Linked DNA regions of Sus scrofa. The protein of the gene in region 2 binds, or shares a complex with, the protein of the main gene of each other region. Links are inferred from orthologs where the notes say so. Each region holds a gene or a part of one and is shown on either strand. Other genes may lie near its edges.

Region 1 (10,758 bases), on a different chromosome or scaffold from region 2:
GCCTCAGGGTTTGGCCGCAGTTTGCACATCCAAGTGACATGGGCCAGTGAGACCAGACTGAGGGCCAGCCATCTGACACCAGCACCCCAGGAGGGTGCTCTCAAACCCCTTGTCTGTCGGCTTATTGTTGTTAAACCGCCATACAGTTGTTATCACCCTGAAAGATTCCTCTGGACCAAAGGCTGAATGTCGATAGATGGATATAAATATGGAACATTAAGTTTTTCTCTTTTTTTTTGCTTTTTAAGGCCGCAGCTGTGGCATATGGATGTTCCCAGGCTAGGGGTCAAATCGGGGCTGCAGCTGCCAGCCTACGCCACAGCAAGACCAAATCCAAGCCGCATCTGAGATCTACACCACAGCTTTACTGCAACGCTGGATCCTTAACCCAGTGAGCAAGGCCAGGAATGGAAATCCCATTCTCACGGACACTATGGTGGGTTCTTAACCCACTAAGTCACAAAGGAACTCCAAAACATTAAGTTTTTCTGATGAAAAAAAAAAAAAAAACCTGACGTAGGCTTATTTTAGAAACCTTTAAAAAAAAAAAAAAAAAGATTTGAAATTGATGTTCTTGTCTGACTCCAAACAGCTAAGGGGTGAAGAACCAGGTTTGCTAGGAATGTGGTGACTGGCAGGGGATGGGGGTCCTGAGAAGGGGAAGAGGGTGCATTTAGCAGTTCCTGGGTGGGGCAGGTCGGGATCTGTGCTGACGGGGAAGGAGGCACTAGGGGGTTGAGGACCCTCCCTCTCGGACTGCTCACCGAAACACTGGGAGTACAGCTCCCTGCGCACAGGGCAGATGCCGGTCTCCCGGGCCTGGCGCTGCTGCAGCTTCAGGTCCAACTGCTCCTGCAGGTGCACCACGTCCATCCTGGTGCTGGGGGTGCTGGACACCTGCTGGATCCATAGCTGTGTGTCCTCCACCCATTCCCTGTGGCACAGACAGAGCCGGGCTGAGTGAACCCCATCCACCAGAGAGGGTCACTGGGAGGGGAGCAGAGGTGGGCCTTTGTGTTCTCTGCTTGAGAGGAGCGAGGGGCAGCTCTGTCCCTGACCCACCAGAATCCTCCATCTCCTCCTTTTCCTTAAGGAGTGTGTGGCTCCAAAGCCACACCCACTGTGCAACCTCCAAGGGGCCCCTCCCCTGGGGCTGGGCAGTCTTCATTCTTCCAGGACCCTCTGTGAAGTCATCACCCATGTTCCAGATCTTAACCACTGACCATGGTGAGGACAGATCTATGGCGGTTGTTACTGAATGGAAGGCCCAGAGGAAATTCCCACTGACTTGACGGGGTAGGAGACACAGGGGACCATAGACCTGCGCCAGCCGGAAAGAGGTGAATGTATGTATTGCAGGCCATACCTCTATGGCCCCCCCATACTGACCAAGGATGAGCAGGTTGGGAGAAGGAAGACATTGTGATTTAGTTTGAGACATGTTAAGTTTGAGAAGTGTATTAGACATTTTCATGAAGGTAATGAGAACAGAGCAGAATATATGCGCATGGAGTTTAGGGGAGAGGACAGGGCTAGATCCAGCATATGGGCGCCATCAGCATTTAGAGCACTCTGAAAATGAGGAGATGTCTCCCCCCAACCCTCAGCATCTAGCCATCTGCAAGTTCTAGGAACTCTGGGATGCTAGGAAGAAATCCCAGCCAGAAACAGAGACAGGGTGCCTCCTCACACATTCCTAAGTTCTAGGATGCAAAAGTCTGGGCTTCCGCCCAGCCACTGCTTTTTTTTTAACCTTGGCGGCAGAATGGCATTCAAGATTTCTTCTGCCTGCTTTGTAGGATCTGGGACACAGGAAGTTGAGGGGAGCTTGGTCTTCGGTGGCTGTGGGACAGGACCTGAGGGTCCAGGCTGCTGGGGGCTGACTTTCAGTAGCCGAGCCTGAGAAGGAAGGACAAGGTGGGACAGGAGGTGATTTAGACACTCAGCTCCACACACTTTGGCAGGCTTTCACCGGGTCACTCGCATACCTCTCCCCCATTCTCAGATCACTCTTCCTCATTAGAAGTTATGTTTCAGAGCTGAAGGAGGCCATGAAGAATCTCTGGTCCCACCCCAACTCAATGCTTCTATCTCCTTGTGCAGATGTTGCTCAGGCCTTTACTTTCTTACCTTTAGAGATGGGGCCAGTCACTATCAGATCTATCCTTGTACACTACCTGGATAGGGCAGGGAGCCCCATCCATCTCTCTGTGACTTTTTTTCCCATCCTAAATCTGCCCTTAGGATCACCCAACATCTGGGCTTCTTGTACCGCTCTCCCACCCTCCTTGCCTGGTCCTAATTCCCTTTATTCCCAGTCACTGCACCCTCTGTCCCTTGGGACTCCCAATCCTCAAGGCAGGGATCTGTCATTCCCCGTGGGAGTTTCCGAGCTCCCCCATCCTGAGACTCCTCCTTACTTTGGGACTCCGTTTCTCCGTGTTGCGGCTCACCAATACCGGGGTATCATACTTGAGCAGAGAGTCGGCGGGGGGGATCATGGCGGCGGCGAGGGTAGCAGCACAGCAGCGACCCTCCTGTCAGGGCAGTGTTTGCCGTCGCCATGGAAACGTCCTTGACATCCTCATGGCCTGGGCGGGGCTTCGAGGCGGGGCGGGGCCAGCAGCTCGAGAGTTTCTTTCTGCTCAACCTTCGAGGAAAGTTCTCCTGCGTTTAGCTTGTCAAGCCTCCTGCTCACCGGGATCGCCTTAGCACTCTTGGAAGCAGGGGAAACTTGAGTTCTGGATCCCTTCGCTGCGTCCAGCTCACGGTTTGAGTAAGGCGCAGATCACTTTCGCTGATCCTGGATTTTGTCACCCGCAAATGGAATCATTTGACTCCTCAGTGAAGGCTGAGGAAGATTCCCAGAGGAAGGCATTTAAAGTTCCCAGGTTTTAAAAAGAGTTTGCCTTTAATGGAGAAATGGCGACGATTTGCCCGGCCGACGATTTGCCCGGGCTACGATCTGTGATTGCATTTCCTTCTCTTCCCCTTTCCTTCGTATTTCCAAACGTAAATGTCATCACAGTCTGCGCACAATTTTGCATCTTGCTTCTTCCATTTAACAAGTCAGACTTTTTTCCATTTGTCGTATAGTTTGTAAATACCATTGCAAATGGTGACATAATCTCTTTTCTACTGCTGGATGTGTAGTTTGTCCCCATGTTTAGTAACTAGTAATAACGCGTCAACAAACAACCTTGAGAGGAGCTTTTTCCCCCCAATTTGTTTTTGAAACCTAAAACTCCCGCCCCACAGAGTCGGGTCCCTAAGGCCCCGCCCACTCGGGATTCTGATCGCGTTATCCGCCGCGAGGGTTTCTGGGAGAGCGCGCACCCGGAAGCGGAAGTCCAGGACTCAAGTCCGTCATTTCCTTCACGGAGAGGAGCGCGACGGTCCTGTTTTTCCTTGGCTCAGCCGTTTCACAGCATGAAGGAGGTGAAGAGCGAGCGGGAGCGGGGAAGTCGGCGAAGGCACCGGGACGGGGACATGGTGGCGGCGGCGACGGTGGTGGTGAAGCAGGAGCGCCTCAGCCCGGAATCCGCGCCTCCTGTCCATCGCCGTCCGGACTCCTCCGGCGGTAGCCCTTCCCCGCTGGCCGGCGAGTCAGGCCGCCCCGGTCACCGCGGGAACCGAGCTCGAGGAGGTAGCCGGTAAGTGGGAAGCAGCCTGGGGTAGACCTGAGGTCGGGCTTTTTGAGAAAGGGGGACAGGGCTGGCACCAGGAGCACACCTTGAATGCTGAGCGCGGCAGCTTGAATTAATCCTAAGGCGATAGAAGTGACCGGTTGTGAGTGTGTTAACGTTTACTCTGATACCTGTTACTTGCGTTATACCTGGGCGTTAAACGCCTAATGCCTGATGGGCAAGTTCTTGCTCCTTCATCTCTGTGTGCTCAGCATTTCTCCGAGTATGGTCCAGCTGATGACAATGATAGTTTATGTTGAAATGAAAGATTTTTCCCACCTGCCTCCAAATGGGGTTATTTTTTCAGTTATCTGCCCCAAGAAGTTTTCATATCCTGAGCCTAGGTGATCTGTCTGATATTCTGGGGGGAAATTGTCTTTTGCGAACAATTTATTCATTCATTCGACATAGTTTTGTCGAGTACTTATTATGTGCTAAAGACCTCATAGGTTATAAAATAATGTGGAAAATAGCTATGTACAATTTTTTAAAATATAAATGTATATGTGGAATTTGAATCAAACTGTAAAATTATACACAGATAAAACTGAAATAAAGAAAATAATGGGAGTTCCCATTGTACCTCAGCAGTAACGAACTGGACTAGTATTCTTGAGGACTATGAGGATGTAGAATTCATCCCTGGCCTCGATCAGTGGGTTCAGGATCCAGCGTTGCCATAAGCTGCATTGTAGGTCGAAGATGCGGCTCTGATCCTGTGTTGCTATGGCTGTGGCGTAGGCCAGCAGCTGTGGCTCTGATTTGACCCCTAGCCTGGGAACTTCCATATGCTAAGGGTGTGGCCCTAAAAAGACAAAAAAAAAAAAAAAAAAAAAAAGGAAGAAAGAAAGAAAAAGAAAAGAAAATATGAGGCAGGCAGGCAGGCCGTCCTGGGTATTGGGGTGGAAAGAATGAGCATGATAGATGATCTCTACCCTGGTGAAACTGAGATGCTCTAGCCCTGAGACAGAATAACAAGGAAATAAAGAAAATAATTTGTTAGTAACAAGTACTAGGGATAGGTTAAGACAGTAATGTCATAGAGAGTGGAGAGAAGTGGTTCTCTGTGAAAAGTCTGCCACTTGACCTGAAACCTGATTGATAAAAATAATCCAGGCTTGTAAAGATCTAATCAGAGAAAACAAGCAGTGCAAAGATCCTGAAGTGGAATTAATTGTGTTCCTTCTAGAAAAGGAGGAGGGGAGGGGATCCGGTATAGTGAGGTGGGTAGGAATGCGGTGGGAGAGAGAAGAGGTAGAGCCTGGAGCCAGAGGACTTGCTGATTGATTGTGAGCGTGTTGGGGAGGAGCATGGGGCCTCTTGGTGGTAAGGGGGAGAAAAAAAAAGAATCTAGGATGACTTCTAGGTTTTTGGCCTGAGGAACGGATGGATAGTGGTATCAGTTACCCTGATGGCAAAGATAGGAAAGTTGAGAGGTGGGAATTTAGCCTTCTCTTATCGAAGTGAGAAGTTTCAATTGGCAGCTACATATGTGGGAGACATTCAGGGCTGAAAAAGTGAAGCTCCTGACTCCTTTAGTGTGATCAGCAGAAGCCTTCACAAATGTGATGTTTGTGTTAGTAGATAGGCCTGATACTTGAAGCTAATTTGTATGAGCGAATGAAAATTGAGATGAAATTTATGTGTACCATTCTCTGAACAGGTCCCCACCGAGAAAGAAAAATAAGTCCTCGGGGAGAAGAAGCAAGTCTCCCCGGAGTAGGAGAAGCCGAAGTCCTCACCACTCAACAGTCAAAGTGAAGCAGGTAAGCGGATTGAGATGTTTTCATACCGGCTCCATCAGAGCTGGAGTGTTGTGTGTGTGTTCACCTCTGCCTGCGGTGGGCTTTTCTAGAAACTGGCTTTTTGGGGTTTTTTTGTCTGCCTGTTTACTTCGTTAAACTAAACCTTTTATTTTGAGATAACTGTTGATTCACCTGCAGTTGTAAGAAAATAATACAGAAGTGGTTGTTTCTCCCATTGGAAGCATTTTACATAATTATAGAACTCTATTCCAACCAGAAAAAATTTTTAAGGGAAAAGTGGTTTTTGTTTTTAATTAAAGTATAGTTTAATGATAGTTCCCTCTGGTGTACAGTAGGTCCTTGTTGATTATCTATTCACAACCAAAATATTGACATCAATACAGTTAACATGCAAAACCTTTCCATCACCACAAGATCCCTCATATAGTCCTTTTGTAGTCATATTCATTTCCTTCGCACCCTTAGCCCTCAATTCCTGGCAGCTTCTCATCTCGTTTCCATTTTGTAATTTTGTCATTTCACAAATATTATGTAAATGAAATCATACAGTATGCAGTCTTATGGGATTGGCTTTTTTCCATTCTGCAAAATTCTTTGCAGATGCATTTAGATTATTGCATCTCTGTAGTTCATTCTTTTTATTGCCGAATGATATTCACTGGTATGGGTTTAACCATTTTCCCATTAAGGAACATCTGGGTTGTTCACAGTTTTTGGCTCTTAGACATAAGGCTGCTGTGTAAACATTTGTGTACAGGTTTTTGTGTGAACATGAGTTTTTATTTCTCTGGGATGAATGCCTGGGGGTGCAGTTGCTGTATGGTATGATAGTTCCATGTTTAATTTTTTTAAGAAATTGCCACACTGTTTTCCAGAGTGCTGTGTTAATTTTCTAGGTCTTCCATAACAAAATACCACAAACTGGCTGCCTTAAACAACAAAAACTGTATTTTTTCCACAGTTTTAGAGGCTAGAAGTCACAGACCAAAGTTTCAGCTGTTTGGTTTCTCCTGAGGCCTCTCTCCTTGGCTTGCAGCTAGTCACTGTCCCAGCTGTGTTCTCACATAGCCTTTCCTCAGTGGCTCATGTCCCTGGCTCATGTCTCTTCCTATTAACCACAACAGCCATGTTGGATTAGGGTGTCAACTCCTTTCAACTCAACCAGTTTTTTGTTTTTTTTTTTTTTAAATCTCACCTCCACAAAATTTGGTTACATTCTTAGATGGGGGGATTGGGACTTGAACATATAAATTTGGAGCGAGCACAACATAACAGTGGCTACACCATTTTACATTTCCACCTATAATGTGTGAGTGATCCAATTTCTCTGCATCCTCACCTGCATATGGTATTGGCACACGTTTTTGTTTTTTTTTTTTTTTCTTAGCCATTCTGATAGGTATGAAAGTGCTACTGTGATTTTTAGTTTGCATTTCCCTGAGGCTGATGGTGTTGACCAGCTTTTCATGTGCTTATTTGCCGTCTATATTTCCTCTCATGTGAAATGTCTCTTCATGTCTTCTGCCTGTTTTCTAGTTGGATTATTTGTTTTGTTTGTTTTTTTAAACTCTTGAGTTTTAAGAATTCTTTTTCATATTCTTCAATACTAGGTCTTTTGGGGTGAATGGTTTGCCAGTGTTTTCTTCCTGTCTGTGTCTTGTCTTTTCATTCTCTTAATAGGGTTTTTCTCTGAGTGAAAGTTTTCAGCTTAGGTGGAGTCCAGCTTATCCATTTTCCTTTTATAGATTATGCTTTTGGTGTCTAAGAAATTTTTCCCTGGCCCTCAATCCCAAAAGAATGGTTTTTTTCTTAATATTTGTGATTTAGGTCTGTGATCTATTTTGAGTTTGTTTTAATATAAGGTGAGAGCCTTAGATCAGATTTCATATTTTGGCCCATGAATGTCCACTTGCTTCAACACCATTTGTTGGAATTTAATTCCTTTAATTGCTTTTGCTTCTTTTGTCAAAAATCTGTTGGGCATGTGTGTGCCTATATTTCTGGGTTCTCTCTTCCATTGATCTGTCATTCTGCCAATACTGCAGTTTTGATTACTGCAGCTATATAATATGTTCTCAAATTGGATAGACTGATTCTTTCACTTTCTTCTTTTTAAAAATTGTTTTAGTGATTCTAGTTCCTTTGTATTTCCATATGAAATGGAATAGTCTTGTTCGTATCTATAAGATTGTGCTGGGATTTTGATTGGAATTATGTTAAAATTGTATTTGGGGGAGAATTGGCTTTTTATTTTATTTTTTAAATTTCTTTATTTTTTTGCTTTTTAGGGCCACACCCCCAGCATATGGAGGTTCCCAGGCTAGGCGTCTTATTGGAGCTACAGCTGCCGGCCTACACTGCAGTCACAGCAACAGATCTGAGCTGCGTCTGCAACTTACACCACAGCTCGCAGCAGTGCCAGATCCTTAACCCACTGATCGAGACCAGGGATCCAACCCGTAACCCCATGGTTCCTAGTCGGATTTGTTAACCACTGAGCCATGATAGGAACTCCTTTATTTTAGAGTTTACTCAGGATTTGCTACATAATTCAAACCTCCAAATTGGGAGGAGTTTCTTTCTCTATAGTCTATATACATTTAATTCCTTTCTTGTTGATGTAGGACTTCCAGCACTATATGGAATAAGAGTAGTAAGAGCAGACAGTCTTGCCTTACTCTCAGTCCTGAGGGGGAAACATTCAGTCTTCTTTTTAAAGAAACTCTGTGGGAGTTCCTCTGTGGTACAGCGGGTTAAAAGATCCAGTGTTGTCACTGCTGCGACTCAGGTCACTGTGTTGGTGCTGGTTCCTGGCCCTGGAAACTTGTATATCCCTAAGATGCAGCTAAAAAGTAATAGTAACTCTAAATTACAAAGTGCAAATAGAGACATTGGCATTTAGAAAATGGATTTTCCTATGAATTTGAGAGACTGTGGGCCAACTTTCTACTACCTGAAAGATTCAAAGCCAGGGAGTTCCCATCGTGGCTCAGCGGTTAAGGAATCTGACTAGCATCCACGAGGACACAGGTTTGATCCCTGGCCTCGCTCAGTGGGTTAAGGATCCAGCGTTGCTGTGAGCTGTGGTGTATGCGGGTGGCTGGAACTCTGATTAGACCCCTAGCCTGGGAACCTCCATATGCCATGGGTGTGGCCCTAAAAAGACCAAAAAAAAAGATTCAAAGCCAGATGGTCCTAATAGTCAGCTCTGTGAGTTGGTCAGGCATGGCCTTGGCTATTTCAGAATTCAGCCTCTGGAACCAGAGTATCCACATTGAACCTCTCAAACCACTTGTTAGAGGGTGGTGTGTGTGTGTATACAACTTGTCACTTCTTTGATTTAATGGATTTGACATGCTGCATTTTGTGGATCTAAGGTGTACAGTGTGTTACTATGATACATTTATATACTGCCACTGAAGCAATATTTATCATGTGTCATCATTATCATATAGTGTTATTGCATTACACACACTGTGCATTTTATCTCTGTGGTTTGCAAGTTTGTACCTTTTTAATTTTTTTTTTTTTGGCTGCACCCGAGGCTTATGGAAATTCCTGGGCCAGGAATCAAATCCAAGCTGCAGCTGTGGCAGTGCCAGATCCTTAACCCACTGCACTGGGTCAGGAATCAAAACTGCACCAACACAGAGACAACGCTGGATCCTCAGCCCAGTGTGCCACAGCGGGAACTCCACAAGTTTGTACCCTTAAATATCATCAGTCTTATCCTCTCACCCACCCACCTCCTGGTAATCACCATTTTGCTCCCTGGATTGTTTTACAATCCTGGGGCTTAGAGTATGGAACTGTTTTGATTATTATTATTTTGAAGTATCTCAGTTTGCTTATCTATGCTAACTTCTCTTCTGACCTCAGGTTATCTCTTAAGAAGCTGATTTTGTGGTATTAATCAGGTAGAAACTTGGAAATGCCTCTCAAGCCAAAGGCAGTTGAAATTCAGTAACTTTCACTTGGATTGTGGGGGGTACACATAGCCTCTGACCTAAGCATGACTTGTACTTACAGGTATTCTCTTCTGTACCACTCAGCCACCATTAAAAATTAAATTTATGGGGAGTTCCCGTGGTGGCTCAGTGGTAACAAACGCAACTAGTAGTCATGAGAATGTGGGTTGGATCCCTGGCCTCACTCAGTTGCTGTGGCGGTGGCATAGGCTGGTGGCTACAGCTCCAATTCGACCCCTAGCCTGGGAACTTCCATATGCTGTGGATGTGGCCCTAAGAAGACGGGAAAAAAAAGCTACATTTATCGATTGCATATTCATCGTGATAACACAAAAGTATGTAAAATAAAAAGTGAGAGTATGGTTACTCCTCTCATTAGCCCCAGAAACCACACCCCTCTCCCCAACCAAAAAAAAAATCACCTCACTCCCCAGAGGTAGCCATTTTAATAGTTTGATATTTATACTTCAGAGCTCTATCATACTTATGTTCTTTTCTTTTCCTTTATGTTTTGATGTGTCTCTCTCTGTATATTCTATGCAAAGTTTTTTTTGTTTTTGTTTGTTTGTTTTTTGCCTTTTAGGGTCACACCAGGGGCATATGGAAGTTCCCAGGCTAGACATTGAATTGGAGCTGCAGCTGCCAGCCTACGCCACAACCATAGCAACTTGGGATCCGAGCCACCACATCTGCAGCCTATACCACAGCTCATGGCAAAGTGGGATTCCCAACCCACTGAGCAAGCCCAGGCAGGATCAAAGCCGCATCCTCAAGGATACTAGTCGGATTCGTTTCTGCTGCCTATAATGGGAACTCCTGCAAAGATTTTAAATAATAATAACTATTTATATATTATCCTACTTGATTTATCAGTAATTGAGAATATATGTTGAAATCTTAGTTATTTAGTATTACCTGATTACGTGATTTGTCATATTCTTTCCATAGTATCTACTAATTTTGCCTGGTATACACTTTTTGAAAATACACTTATTTGAAATTTGAAAAAATTTCACTTTTTGAAAAACTTTTGGGACTGAGAATTGCCCGTTGGATTTAGCAACATTGAGGTCACCAGTGGCCTTGACTAGCAATTTTAGTGGAGTAGTAAGGGTAGAGCCTAATTGGAGGGTTCAAAAGAAGATGGGGAGTTCCCTTTGTGGCTTGGTGGGAACAAACCCAACTAGTCTCCATGAGGACACAGGTTCAATCCCTGACCTCACTCAGAGGGTTAAGGATCTGGTGTTGCAGTGAGCTACGGTATAGGTCACAGATTTGGCTCAGATCTGGTATTGCTGTGGCTGTGATGTAGGCTGGCAACTGCAGCTCTCATTGAAC
Region 2 (10,730 bases):
TATCTGTCACAAAGGTATTTTTCAAAAACAATTCTGTGAGTCTAAGAGAAAATTTTAAAGGTATGGACGTGTTCCCAGTTTCTGCCTCTTATTTCTGCCCATGGAGGAAGTTATTTTTTCCCTTAAAAGAGTGTGTTGCAATAAGCCATTTGTTTTCTCCAATCTCCATCCACTTGTAACCAGTGGCCCACATTTTTGGAAGGGTTAGTTTGAATCAGGCGAGCCATCCACAGTCCTAGCCTAGTCTTCTCTTTGTGGAGCATCACACAGTAGAACCTGCCCCGCTGACTCTCTAGCACAGAACTCAAAATAAGAAGCTGTCAAGTGTGTGGAGCCATTGCTTTTAACTCGTGTAATGTTGGCCGGTCATTGAACAGGAAAAGTGCGCACCCCTTCCAACCGTCTTCGCTCTCTTGCTTTTAGATGGACGACGAGGACGACGATGACGATGTAGGAGATCATGATGAAGAGCACCCTGGGATGGAGGTGGTGCTGCATGAGGACAAGAAGTACTACCCCACAGCCGAGGAGGTGTACGGCCCCGAAGTGGAGACCATAGTTCAGGAGGAGGACACGCAGCCTCTCACCGGTGAGTCTGGAGGCGCTGGCTGGGGAGCGCTGAATCCGAAACCAGAAAACTGTCTTGAAAGCTCAGTGAATGAACTGATTAGTTTCTCTTTCAGGTACTATGTCTAGATTGAGATTCAATTAACCCCATTTTGATATTCAGTAAAACTCATAGCTTATTACTTAGCAAATAAGAGTTACAAAGAGAGAGAGCGTTCTTTCTTTTAATCTAATATCCGTTTAGGTGCTTGAAGACAGTCTTTAAGTTCTCTTCTGGTCTGATATCCAAACAATACCAACTCCTTTAACTAGTCTTCACAATGCTTATTTTCCACTTTACTAATTTTCACTGAGCTTCTGGAAAGTGGTTGCATTTTTAAATGCAAGGAGTGCTTTTGAACTGATATCGAGCTCATCCTCTATCTAGTCCCTCTCTCTTCCTCTCACAAAATAAAGTCCAAACACCTCACTCCACAGTTCAAGACCCTTCACTGTCTCGTGCCAAATAGCATTCCCAGGACTTTCTCAATCTCAGTGACCCATGAGAATAGCATAAATTGATGTCGCATATCGTATATTCTGAAAGCTCAGTCTGTTGGAATAGGGCTCTGTGTTTTTATGTTTTATGCCTACCTGCACATCACTACTTTTTTTTTCTCCTAGAACCCATTATTAAGCCAGTGAAAACCAAGAAATTCACTCTGATGGAGCAGACACTACCTGTCACAGTGTATGAAATGGAGTAAGTTATTAAGGTCTTGCAGCATCTCTGCACAAACAGTATGGGTTCATTTTTTTTGTGGAGGTAGGAGGTGGTTTGTGGTTGAAGTAGCCAGTGAATTATTGTGAAAGCAGAACTCTCTCCCTACAATTTGCCAGCATTTTCTTTCTTTCTTTCTTCCTTTTTTTTTTGTCTTTTACTAGGGCTGCACCCTCAGCATATGGAGGTTCCCAGGCTAGGGGTCTAATCGGAGCTACAGCTGCCGGCCTACACCACAGCCACAACCACGCCAGATTCGAGCCTCGTCTGCGACCTACACCATAGCTCATGGTAACACCAGATCCTTAGCCCACTGAGCGAGGCCAGGGATTGAACCTGCAGTCTCATGGTTCCTAGTCGGATTTGTTTCCACTGCGCCACAACAGGAACTCACCCTTACTTGCTTTTTAAATGTCATTATTTTCCTATTGAAAGCTCCATGACATTTCAAGATTATGTCACCTCACAAATGAGTCTGTTCCATTCCCAAAGCCTGAACTGTGTAGGGGTAGAAATTCATGTCTGCCTTGGAACATTCTCCAGTTGGGCTGAAAATTGTTCCTGGCCAAAAATACCTAGAACATCTCTGCACCGCTCCTTTGTTTGAAAACCGTTGCCAGAGTCCCTTTTCTCTCTTCCTTTCTCCTTTCAGTTTCTTGGCAGATCTGATGGATAACTCGGAGCTCATCAGAAACGTGACGCTCTGTGGCCATCTCCACCATGGCAAGGTGAGGGAACTTGGAACAGGGTTGCTCTTTGTTTCTGCTGAGTGTTTCAGCCTAAGAGTCACTAATTGGGGTCTGAGGCCATAAGGCTGGACCTCCTGACTCTGCAGGGCCTCCCTGGAGCCTATTGTGAAACCGAGCCGTGAAATCCCAGCTTTTCCTGAGCAGCAGATGGAAAGCTAAGCCACTTGCATGCCTGAGCCTTGTGTCTACATCTGGACAGCAGAGGGGAAATTGGGCCTTACTTTATTTTATAAGTTTTCATTTCCTGGAGGACGCTTGCCCAAGAAAGATTTCATCTTTCATTTGAAAATAATCCCGTGGCTTCTTTATTTCTTTGTTGTCCCATAATCTCCCCTGCTCTCCTCCTCCTCTCCTTATCCCTGAATTGTGTGGTGTATTGGTAACTGGGGGAGGGTGGAGTCGATTTTCCTCTGTGGCCAGCAGAACATAACTTTCTTTTCCCTTGCAGACGTGTTTTGTAGATTGTTTAATAGAGCAGACTCACCCGGAAATCAGAAAGCGCTATGACCAAGATGTAAGTAGAAATTCTGTGGAGGGTTTGGGATGAACCATTCAGAACACAGGGGGGTGTCTCTCCTTCTCCTTCCTTCTAACCTCCCACTCTCATTATAAGTAATGATGCCTATAATATGCTGCTTCATAATTGTAATTTCTATTAATAGCCCTTAAGAAAATAATTTCCATTTTCTCAGGAACATAGAGAATATTAACCTGCAGTATTTTTGGATGATCTGTTCTGCACTTGAGATCCCTCCTGTGTTCTGATATATCCTGACTTTTATAGCCTATTCTTTCCTGTCATAGTATTAATAGCCTACTCTATAAATATAATACAGTTGGACCTTGTTGTTTCCATGATAAATTTAAATGCCTGTGAATGAGGCCCAGTGTGGCTGCAAGTCTCAGTGCAATAACTGTTCAGTCTCCGCCAGATTGACTGTTTTGATGTGCGGGTGTTCCGTGAAGGCTAGAGGTGTCTTCCTTTACCACTGTGCAGAATTCAATGCATTTGATGTGATTTAGCTCTCCAGCCACCTCGGTCCTTAGTGACTTCCCTGACTCCCCCCATAAAACCATCCAGGAGCATTTTCCACCTGGGAGGGCCCTAGTCTCATTGAACTCTCTGTAGCGCACCCTCTTGCCTTCCATCTGTTCTCCTCCTGAGCCAGAGGCCCCCAGGTTAGGAGTGGGTGAGGGGAATGATTGATGGTTTGTGGGTGGCAAGAATCTGAATTCAGGTGGTAACTACATTTTTTTTTTTTTTTCTTTTTTCAGCTGTGTTACACAGACATCCTCTTCACAGAGCAAGAGGTAAGTGTGCCTTTGGGAATCTGATTGTTGCCACACCAGACCCAGCAGTGGTGGTTTTGTAGGGAAAGTTTTTATGATAACGTTTTGGCCCATACAGCACCCGTCCCCCATAACTCCCATCCCTCAACCTCTTTATCTCCCTGCTTCGTCCCATGATCTCTAACTTGAAAGAGAGCTGGGTAGGCAAACTGTAGGATAAAAGGAGAGACCCTCCTGTCCTTACCTGGATTTAATTTAGCCTAATGGGGCAGATGCCAAGAGGTGGTGTGTACATTTATCTGTAAGTTATACAGAAGCCAAACATGATTTTTAAAATGACATCATCCTTAAAATCTATAGGATGACTCCATCCATATGTCGCTCTTCCTAGGGGCAGCTTCCCTTAGAGAAGAGGTTCATCTCTCTTTGTTCTTCTCTTTCTCTGTAAAGGAGTGCACGTATATCTCTGTCTTTTCCATTCCATCTGGTTAGTCTTTCCATCTAGAGGGGATCTTTATCCCTCCCCTCTAACACCTTCTGTTTCCTCTTCTCCTTTTTTTTTTTTTTTTTTTTTTGTGTGTGTGTGTGTGTGTGTGTGTCTTTTTAGGGCTGCTTCCATGGCATATAGAGGGTCCCAGGCTAGGGGTTGAATTGGAACTGTAGCCACTGGCCTACACCACAGCCACAGCAACACAGGATCCGAGCTGCGTCTGCGACCTACACCAGAGCTCACGGCAGCCCTAGAGCCTTAACCCCCTGAGTAAGACCAGGGATCAAACCTGTGTCCTCACAGATGCTAGTCAGATTTGTTTCTGCTGAGCCACAATGGGAACTCCCCTCCTTTATTTCTGTCTCTCTTAAATGACCACATGGAAAGCACAAATGTATAAGTTTGACTAACCAAAGGAACTCTAAACGGTGCTGGCATATGATAAGCAATCAACAAATATTAGCTATTTAAAAAATATATGTGTGTATATATTTGACTGGAGTTGGGCTTTTTTTTGTTGGGTTTTAGCTGTGCCTGTGGCATGTAGAAGTTCCCAGGCCAGGGATTGAACCCACACCACAGCAGTGACATAAGCCATAGCAGTGACAATGCCAGATCCTTTAACCCACTGTGACGGGCTGGGGAATTGAACTTGCCCCTCCACTGCTGCAATCAGATTCTTAAGCCACTGTACCACAGCAGCAACTCCTACTATAACTTTCGCTATATTTAAAAAAAAAAAAGGAGTTCCTGTTGCGGCGCAGTGGTTAACAAATCCGACTAGGAACCATGAGATTGCAGGTTCGATCCCTGCCCTTGTGCAGTGGGGTAATGATCCGGCATTGCCGTGAGTTGTGGTGTAGGTCGCAGACGTGGCTCGGATCCTGCATTGCTGTGGCTCTGGCATAGGCTGGCGGCTACAGCTCCGATTCAACCCCTACCTAGCCTGGGAACCTCCATATGCCGAGGGAGCAGCCCAAGAAATGGCAAAAAGACCAAAAAAAAAAACCCAAAAAACAAAAAAAAACCTAGGAATTCCCTCATGGCCTAGCAGGTTAAGGATCAGTGCTATTACAGCTCTGGCTTGGGTTTGATCTCTTGTGTGGTCTGGGAACTTCCACATGCCACAGGCACAGCCAAAAAAAAAGGAACCTAAAATAACCCAGATAGTTTCTTTTGATTTATATGATGTTTAATTATTTTTATTTATAGTGTACGAGGAAGATAAGATTTTAGGACTGTGGATTCTCCTATTATGGTTTACCACTGCTTTGCTTGCTTGTTCTTTTATTTTTACTTTTTTGTATTTGAACCAACTCTCCCCCATCCTGGGAAATGCTGTTAAGACCAAGATAGTTTGTCTTCAAGGTCATTCTGATTAGAGGACTAGGTTACAAAATCACACACACTACAAGGAGAGACAGTGGTGTAACTTACTAGCAACTGGGAAGCCCCCAAAGCAGAGTAAACCCCTCCTGCATAGGATGAGCTCTTGATCATCCTGTCTCTCTCTCTGTGACTTTCAGAGGGGTGTTGGCATCAAAAGTACTCCTGTGACAGTGGTCTTGCCAGATACCAAAGGAAAATCCTATCTCTTCAATATCATGGACACTCCAGGTAGGATGTTCCTGACCTTTTACTGTCAAAACCTTGACTTATTTTTTTCTTGTGCTCCTACTATTTCTAGAACAGAAAAGAGCATTATGTCTTTCTTTTTACATTCTGTTCATTAAGATGATAATTTTCATTTTTAACGGTTTCCTTTGCTTCTAACCAGTTAATTAGCAAGCACTGTGCTCCAGGTCTTCTGTCTTATTCCTCTCTTGACTCTGCTCTAGACTATTTAAATTTGGGGGAATCTTATTCATATATTAGTTTCAGCCTGTCAGTCACTGTGCTAGACATTGGGGTGACAAAGATGAGTCAGACATGGTCCCAGCCTCAGGCCATCTCAGTCTTTTGATGGAGACCACGGGTACTTACCAGTGGCTGGGGATGTACAGGTTGCCATGGAGCAGCATATCTTGTCCCTTGGTTGCCTTTTTCTCTTGATTCATTTTTATTTTTTGCTTTTTAGGGCCACACCCATGGCATATGGAGGTTCCCAGGCTAGGGGGCCACAGCAGTGCAGGATCTGAGCCTCATCTGTGACCTACACCACAACTCACCGCAATGCCAGATCCCCAACCCACTGAGTGAGGCCAGGGGTCAAACCCGCATCCTCATGGGTACAAGCAGGTTCTTTCTGCTGCGCCACAATGGGAATTCTGGAAAATCTGGGTTTTGGCAGATTGGCCTTTTGCCCCATCAGGTGCCCTATGCCCTCCTACTTCTTAGCCCCTGACCCCCACCCATACCCAGCAGCAGCACTTTGCCAGGAACCAGCTCCATGCTAAAGCCCTTCCTTTGCCTTTTTTTCTGCCTCCAGATTGTCTTCTGTCCCACAGAATTCGACTCACTGATGGTTAGACTAAGCTAGGGTGTGAGTGGAATGCATTATGCCCTGCTTGGTAAAACATTTCCTCCTTTTTATGTTTGGGGGCCTCCTGTATAAAAGCACAATCCAAGGATGGGACACTAACGTGGAAATTTTTTTTGGCTATGCCCATGGCATCCAGAAATTCCTGGGCCAAGGATTGAACACAAGCCACAGCAGTGACAATGCCAGATCCTTAACCCACTAGGCCACCAGGGAACTCCTAATGTGGAATTTTATACACTGCAGGGAGCTGTGGGGAGAAGGGAACGGGGCTCTTTGTGGGTTCACATGCTTTGCAGTGCCCTGCAGACCACATACAAGTTGATTGTGCCTCAGCCTGTATCCACACAAGTGGCAACTTACCTGGTATTTGCTTTTCAGGGCATGTGAATTTTTCTGATGAAGTCACAGCTGGCTTGCGCATCTCAGATGGAGTGGTCCTGTTCATTGATGCTGCCGAGGGCGTGAGTCTGCTTCTGTCCTTTGGGACCCCTCTCTCCCTGTTATATTTGCCCTACACACTGCCCAGAGCTCTGAGTGAGCTGAGCCAGGAGCCAGAGAACGTGAGCGTCTCTGAGATTGAGGCTCATACTTGCTTTAAAATTAGGGCAGCAAATAAAGGTGTAAATCAGTTCTCAGTGAGTCCCTCACCCCCTGCCCAGAGAAGCTCAAGATGATAGGACTCGTTGTCATTTAAGAAACACAGGAGGAGTTCCTGTCGTGGTGCAATGGTTAACAAATCCGACTAGAAGCCATGAGGTTGCAGGTTTGATCCCTGGCCTGCTCAGTGGGTTAAGGATCCAGCGTTGCCGTGAGCTGTGGTATAAGTCACAGACGTGGCTCAGATCTGGCGTTGCTGTGGTTGTGGTGTAGGCTGGTGGCTACAGCTCCAATTAGACCCCTAGCCTGGGAACCTCCATATGCCGAGGGATCAGCCCAAGAAATGGCGAAAAGACCAAAAAAAAAAAAAAAAAAAAAAAAGAAACACAGGAATGACAAATGTAAATAATAGGGAGGGAGGAGAGTTTATTCCTGTAAGTGGATTTTATTCTATTTTGTTTTATTTTACTTTTTTGCTTTTTAGGGGCACAACTGCAGCATATGGAAGTAACCAGGCTAGGGGTCAAATGAGAGCTGCAGCTGCCAGCCTATGCCACAGCCACAGCAATTAGGGATTCAAGCTGTATTTGCAACCTACACCACAGCTCACAGCAACACCAGATCCTGAACCCACTGAGCGAGGCCAGGGATCAAACCAGTGTCCTCATAGATACTAGTCAGGCTTGTTTCCACTGAGCCACAACAGGAGCTCCGGATTTTAAATGTCAGTGAAGTTGTCTAAACTAAGAAGAGATTGGAGTTAAAAGGGCCAGAGTGTTTTTTATATTTCTAAATAGAAAGATTAGGTATGTGGAGTTCCCACTGTGGCCCTGCTCAGTGGGTTAAGGGTCCACTGTTGCCCTGAGCTGTGTGTGGTGCAGGTAGAAGATGAGGATCGGACCCCATGTCTGGTGGTTGCAGCTCCAAGTCAACCCCTAGCCTGGGAACTTCCATATGCCTTGCCTCTCCTGTGGCCCTTAAAAAAAAAAAAAAAAAAAAAAAAAAAGAATAGCTAATTTGGCTAACCTCATTCATGTTGTCATTGGTGAGATAGCCAGCAGAGGGAGCCAGCGTTGCCCTTTTAAAAAATTAACTTCATTTTGGGGTAATTTCGAACTTATTGAAAAGTTGTAGTAATACTGAGAACGCACCTTCATTTGCTTTGTAATCATCTCTCTGTACATGCTTGTGTGCCCTCACACGTTTGTGTGTTTTCCATTGGACCAATTGAAAGTAATGTATTTCAGGATGTATTTCCTAACAGGGACATACACTTACCAAGATTTGGAAACTTAGTATTGGTCAATATTGTCGTATAGGCCTTTTCTGGAGACCGTAATCAGTCTCTCTGATTGTTCCAGTAATGTCCTTTATAGAGGTTTTTTTTCCCCTAACCCAACCCAACATTCAATTTTCATGTCTCCATAGTCTCTCTCTCTCTCTCTTTTTTTTTTTTTTTTTGTCTTTTCAGGGCTGCACCCATGGCATATGGAGGTTCCCAGGCTAGGGGTTGAATCGGAGCTGTAGCCACCGTCCTACACCACAGCCACAGCAATGTGGGATCTGAGCCGCGTCTGCAACCTGCACGTCTGCTCATGGTAACGCTGGATCCTTAACCCACTGAGCGAGGCCAGGGATTGAACCCGAAACCTCATGGATCCTAGTCGGGTTCATTACCACTGAGCCATGATGGAACTCCTACGTTGTGTTTTTACTAGTCCGTCACGTCAGAAGGTCCGTGATGTCCCCATATCCCATTACTGGTGATGTCAACTTTGATGACTTGGCTAGGGTGGGCCTGTCAGGTTTCTCCAGTGCGAAGTTACTATTTTATTTTACCCTTTCTAATAATTTGTGGGCAGGTACCTTGAGTCAGTATAAACATGCTATTCCTTATCAAAGTTTACTTCTTTTGTCATCCATTGGTCATTCCTAGCTTGTTTATATAATAGTTACAAATGGTGGTTTTTCTCTTATTATTTCTTCTGTATTTATTGGTCAGAATTTTGTTGTAAGGAAGAGCTTTCCATTCTTCTCCACTTGATTATTTATTAGTAATATAGATTCATGTATTTTTATTGTACACAGTGAGTTTTAATCCTTTAAGATCCTTATATCTTTTATATTTTTTCTTTTGTTTTGTTTTTCTTTTTTGGCCGCCCCACAGCATAGGGAGCTCTTGGGCCAGAGATTAGATCTGAGCCATAGTTGTGACCCCCACTGCAGCTGTGGCAACACCTGATCCTTTAACTCACTGTGCCAGGCCGGGAATTGAACCTGTGTCCTTGCGCTATAGGGACACCACCAATCCCGCTGGCTAGTGAGAACTCCTTCAGGCTGACTTCTTTATCCTTTTGACGTGCCCCATCTTCTTGTAGGCACAAAAAGATGCCCTAAACTCATCTTGTACTTTCCCCGCCCCAGTCTAGGAGTCAGCTGCTTCTCCAAGGAGCTCTGGCTCCTTCTACTGAGGACTGGTATTTGGAAACAAAGATTAGGGCATATTTATTGCTACTGGGGCATATTGCTTCGAGGACTTTTCACTGAACACAGGTAACATTCACCCCTATGTATCTGTAACTGTTTCTAGGCACATATATTAAAAACCATTAGTTCACCGAAAAAGAAGAAAAAAACACGAGTTGGAGTTCCCGTCGTGGCACAGTGGTTAACGAATTCAACTAGGAACCATGAGGTTGCGGGTTTGATACCGGGCCTTGCTCAGTGGGTTAAGGATCCAGCGTTGCCATGAGCTGTGGTGTAGGTTGCAGACGCGGCTCGGATCCTGCGTTGCTGTGGCTCTGGCGTAGGCCAGTGGCTACAGCTCCGCTTAGACCCCTAGCCTGGGAACCTCCATATGCTGTGGGAGCGGCCCAAGAAATAGCAAAAAAAAAAAAAAAACCACGAGTTCATCCTAACGCCCAGCATTCCATTTCAGCACCACTGCGGCTTCCTAAGCCTTCTCTAGCACACAGAGACCTGACTCCCAACATTTCTTCATTTCTCAATCCTGCAAGGTGCCCTCTTAAAATTCCTGAGTCTGAAATTCCCATTGTGGCTCAGTGGGTTAAGAACCCGACTGGCATCCATGAGGATATGAGTTCTGTCCTTGGCCTCACGTGTTGGGTTAAGGATCTAGTGTTGCCGTGAGCTGCAGTGCATGACATAGCTCGGATCCATCGTTGCTGTGACTGTGGTGTAGGCCGGCAGCTGCAGCTCCAATTCAACCCCTATCCTGGGAATCTCCATATGCTGCAGGTGCGGCCCTAAAAAGACAAAAGACAAAAAATTCCTGCATCTGCTGTTGGACAGGATACCCTCTTCCTCCCCCCAACAATCTGTTTCCCCAGATCTTCTTTTCCACGTCCTTCATATTTTAAAGCAGTGCCTTCTTTGGCTCTGCTTTGGACTTTTCTGCCCTCTTTGCTCCGATCATCACCTTCTGAACCTCATGTCTCTCAGGTGATGCTGAACACAGAGCGGCTGATCAAGCACGCCGTGCAGGAGAGGCTGGCGGTCACCGTGTGCATCAACAAGATTGACCGGCTAATCCTGGAGCTGAAGCTGCCTCCCACTGACGCGTATTACAAGCTGCGTCACATCGTAGATGAGGTCAATGGATTGATAAGGTAGAGGAATCCTGGGCATGGACCTTGAACACCTCTGGGGGCAACTCTGATTTCTTGGCATACGTGGATGTGCTTACTGGACTTAGCTAGGGGCACATTCTGTGGCTTTGCAGGGATTGACTCCATTCCTTAACCAGATGTGCAGCTCACCTCACGTCTTCAGTAT

The links. Proteins that work in one complex are often made in the same cells at the same time.
Region 1: EFTUD2 (region 2) and SNIP1 share a complex: the UniProt entries of both Homo sapiens proteins name them as parts of the minor spliceosome. The link is inferred for Sus scrofa from reciprocal best matches to the Homo sapiens genes EFTUD2 and SNIP1.

Annotation. Positions count from the first base shown.
Region 1 is NC_010448.4:93,604,748-93,615,505, reverse strand, and holds the start of SNIP1 (smad nuclear-interacting protein 1), read left to right. Parts: upstream 1-3,336; 5' UTR 3,337-3,429; coding exon 3,430-3,653; intron 3,654-5,349; coding exon 5,350-5,452; intron 5,453-10,758. UniProt on the Homo sapiens protein: Required for pre-mRNA splicing as component of the spliceosome. As a component of the minor spliceosome, involved in the splicing of U12-type introns in pre-mRNAs. Down-regulates NF-kappa-B signaling by competing with RELA for CREBBP/EP300 binding.
Region 2 is NC_010454.4:18,485,331-18,496,060, forward strand, and holds part of EFTUD2 (116 kDa U5 small nuclear ribonucleoprotein component), read left to right. Parts: intron 1-423; coding exon 424-589; intron 590-1,230; coding exon 1,231-1,309; intron 1,310-1,979; coding exon 1,980-2,055; intron 2,056-2,524; coding exon 2,525-2,590; intron 2,591-3,351; coding exon 3,352-3,387; intron 3,388-5,382; coding exon 5,383-5,473; intron 5,474-6,716; coding exon 6,717-6,799; intron 6,800-10,397; coding exon 10,398-10,564; intron 10,565-10,730. UniProt on the Homo sapiens protein: Required for pre-mRNA splicing as component of the spliceosome, including pre-catalytic, catalytic and post-catalytic spliceosomal complexes. Component of the U5 snRNP and the U4/U6-U5 tri-snRNP complex, a building block of the spliceosome.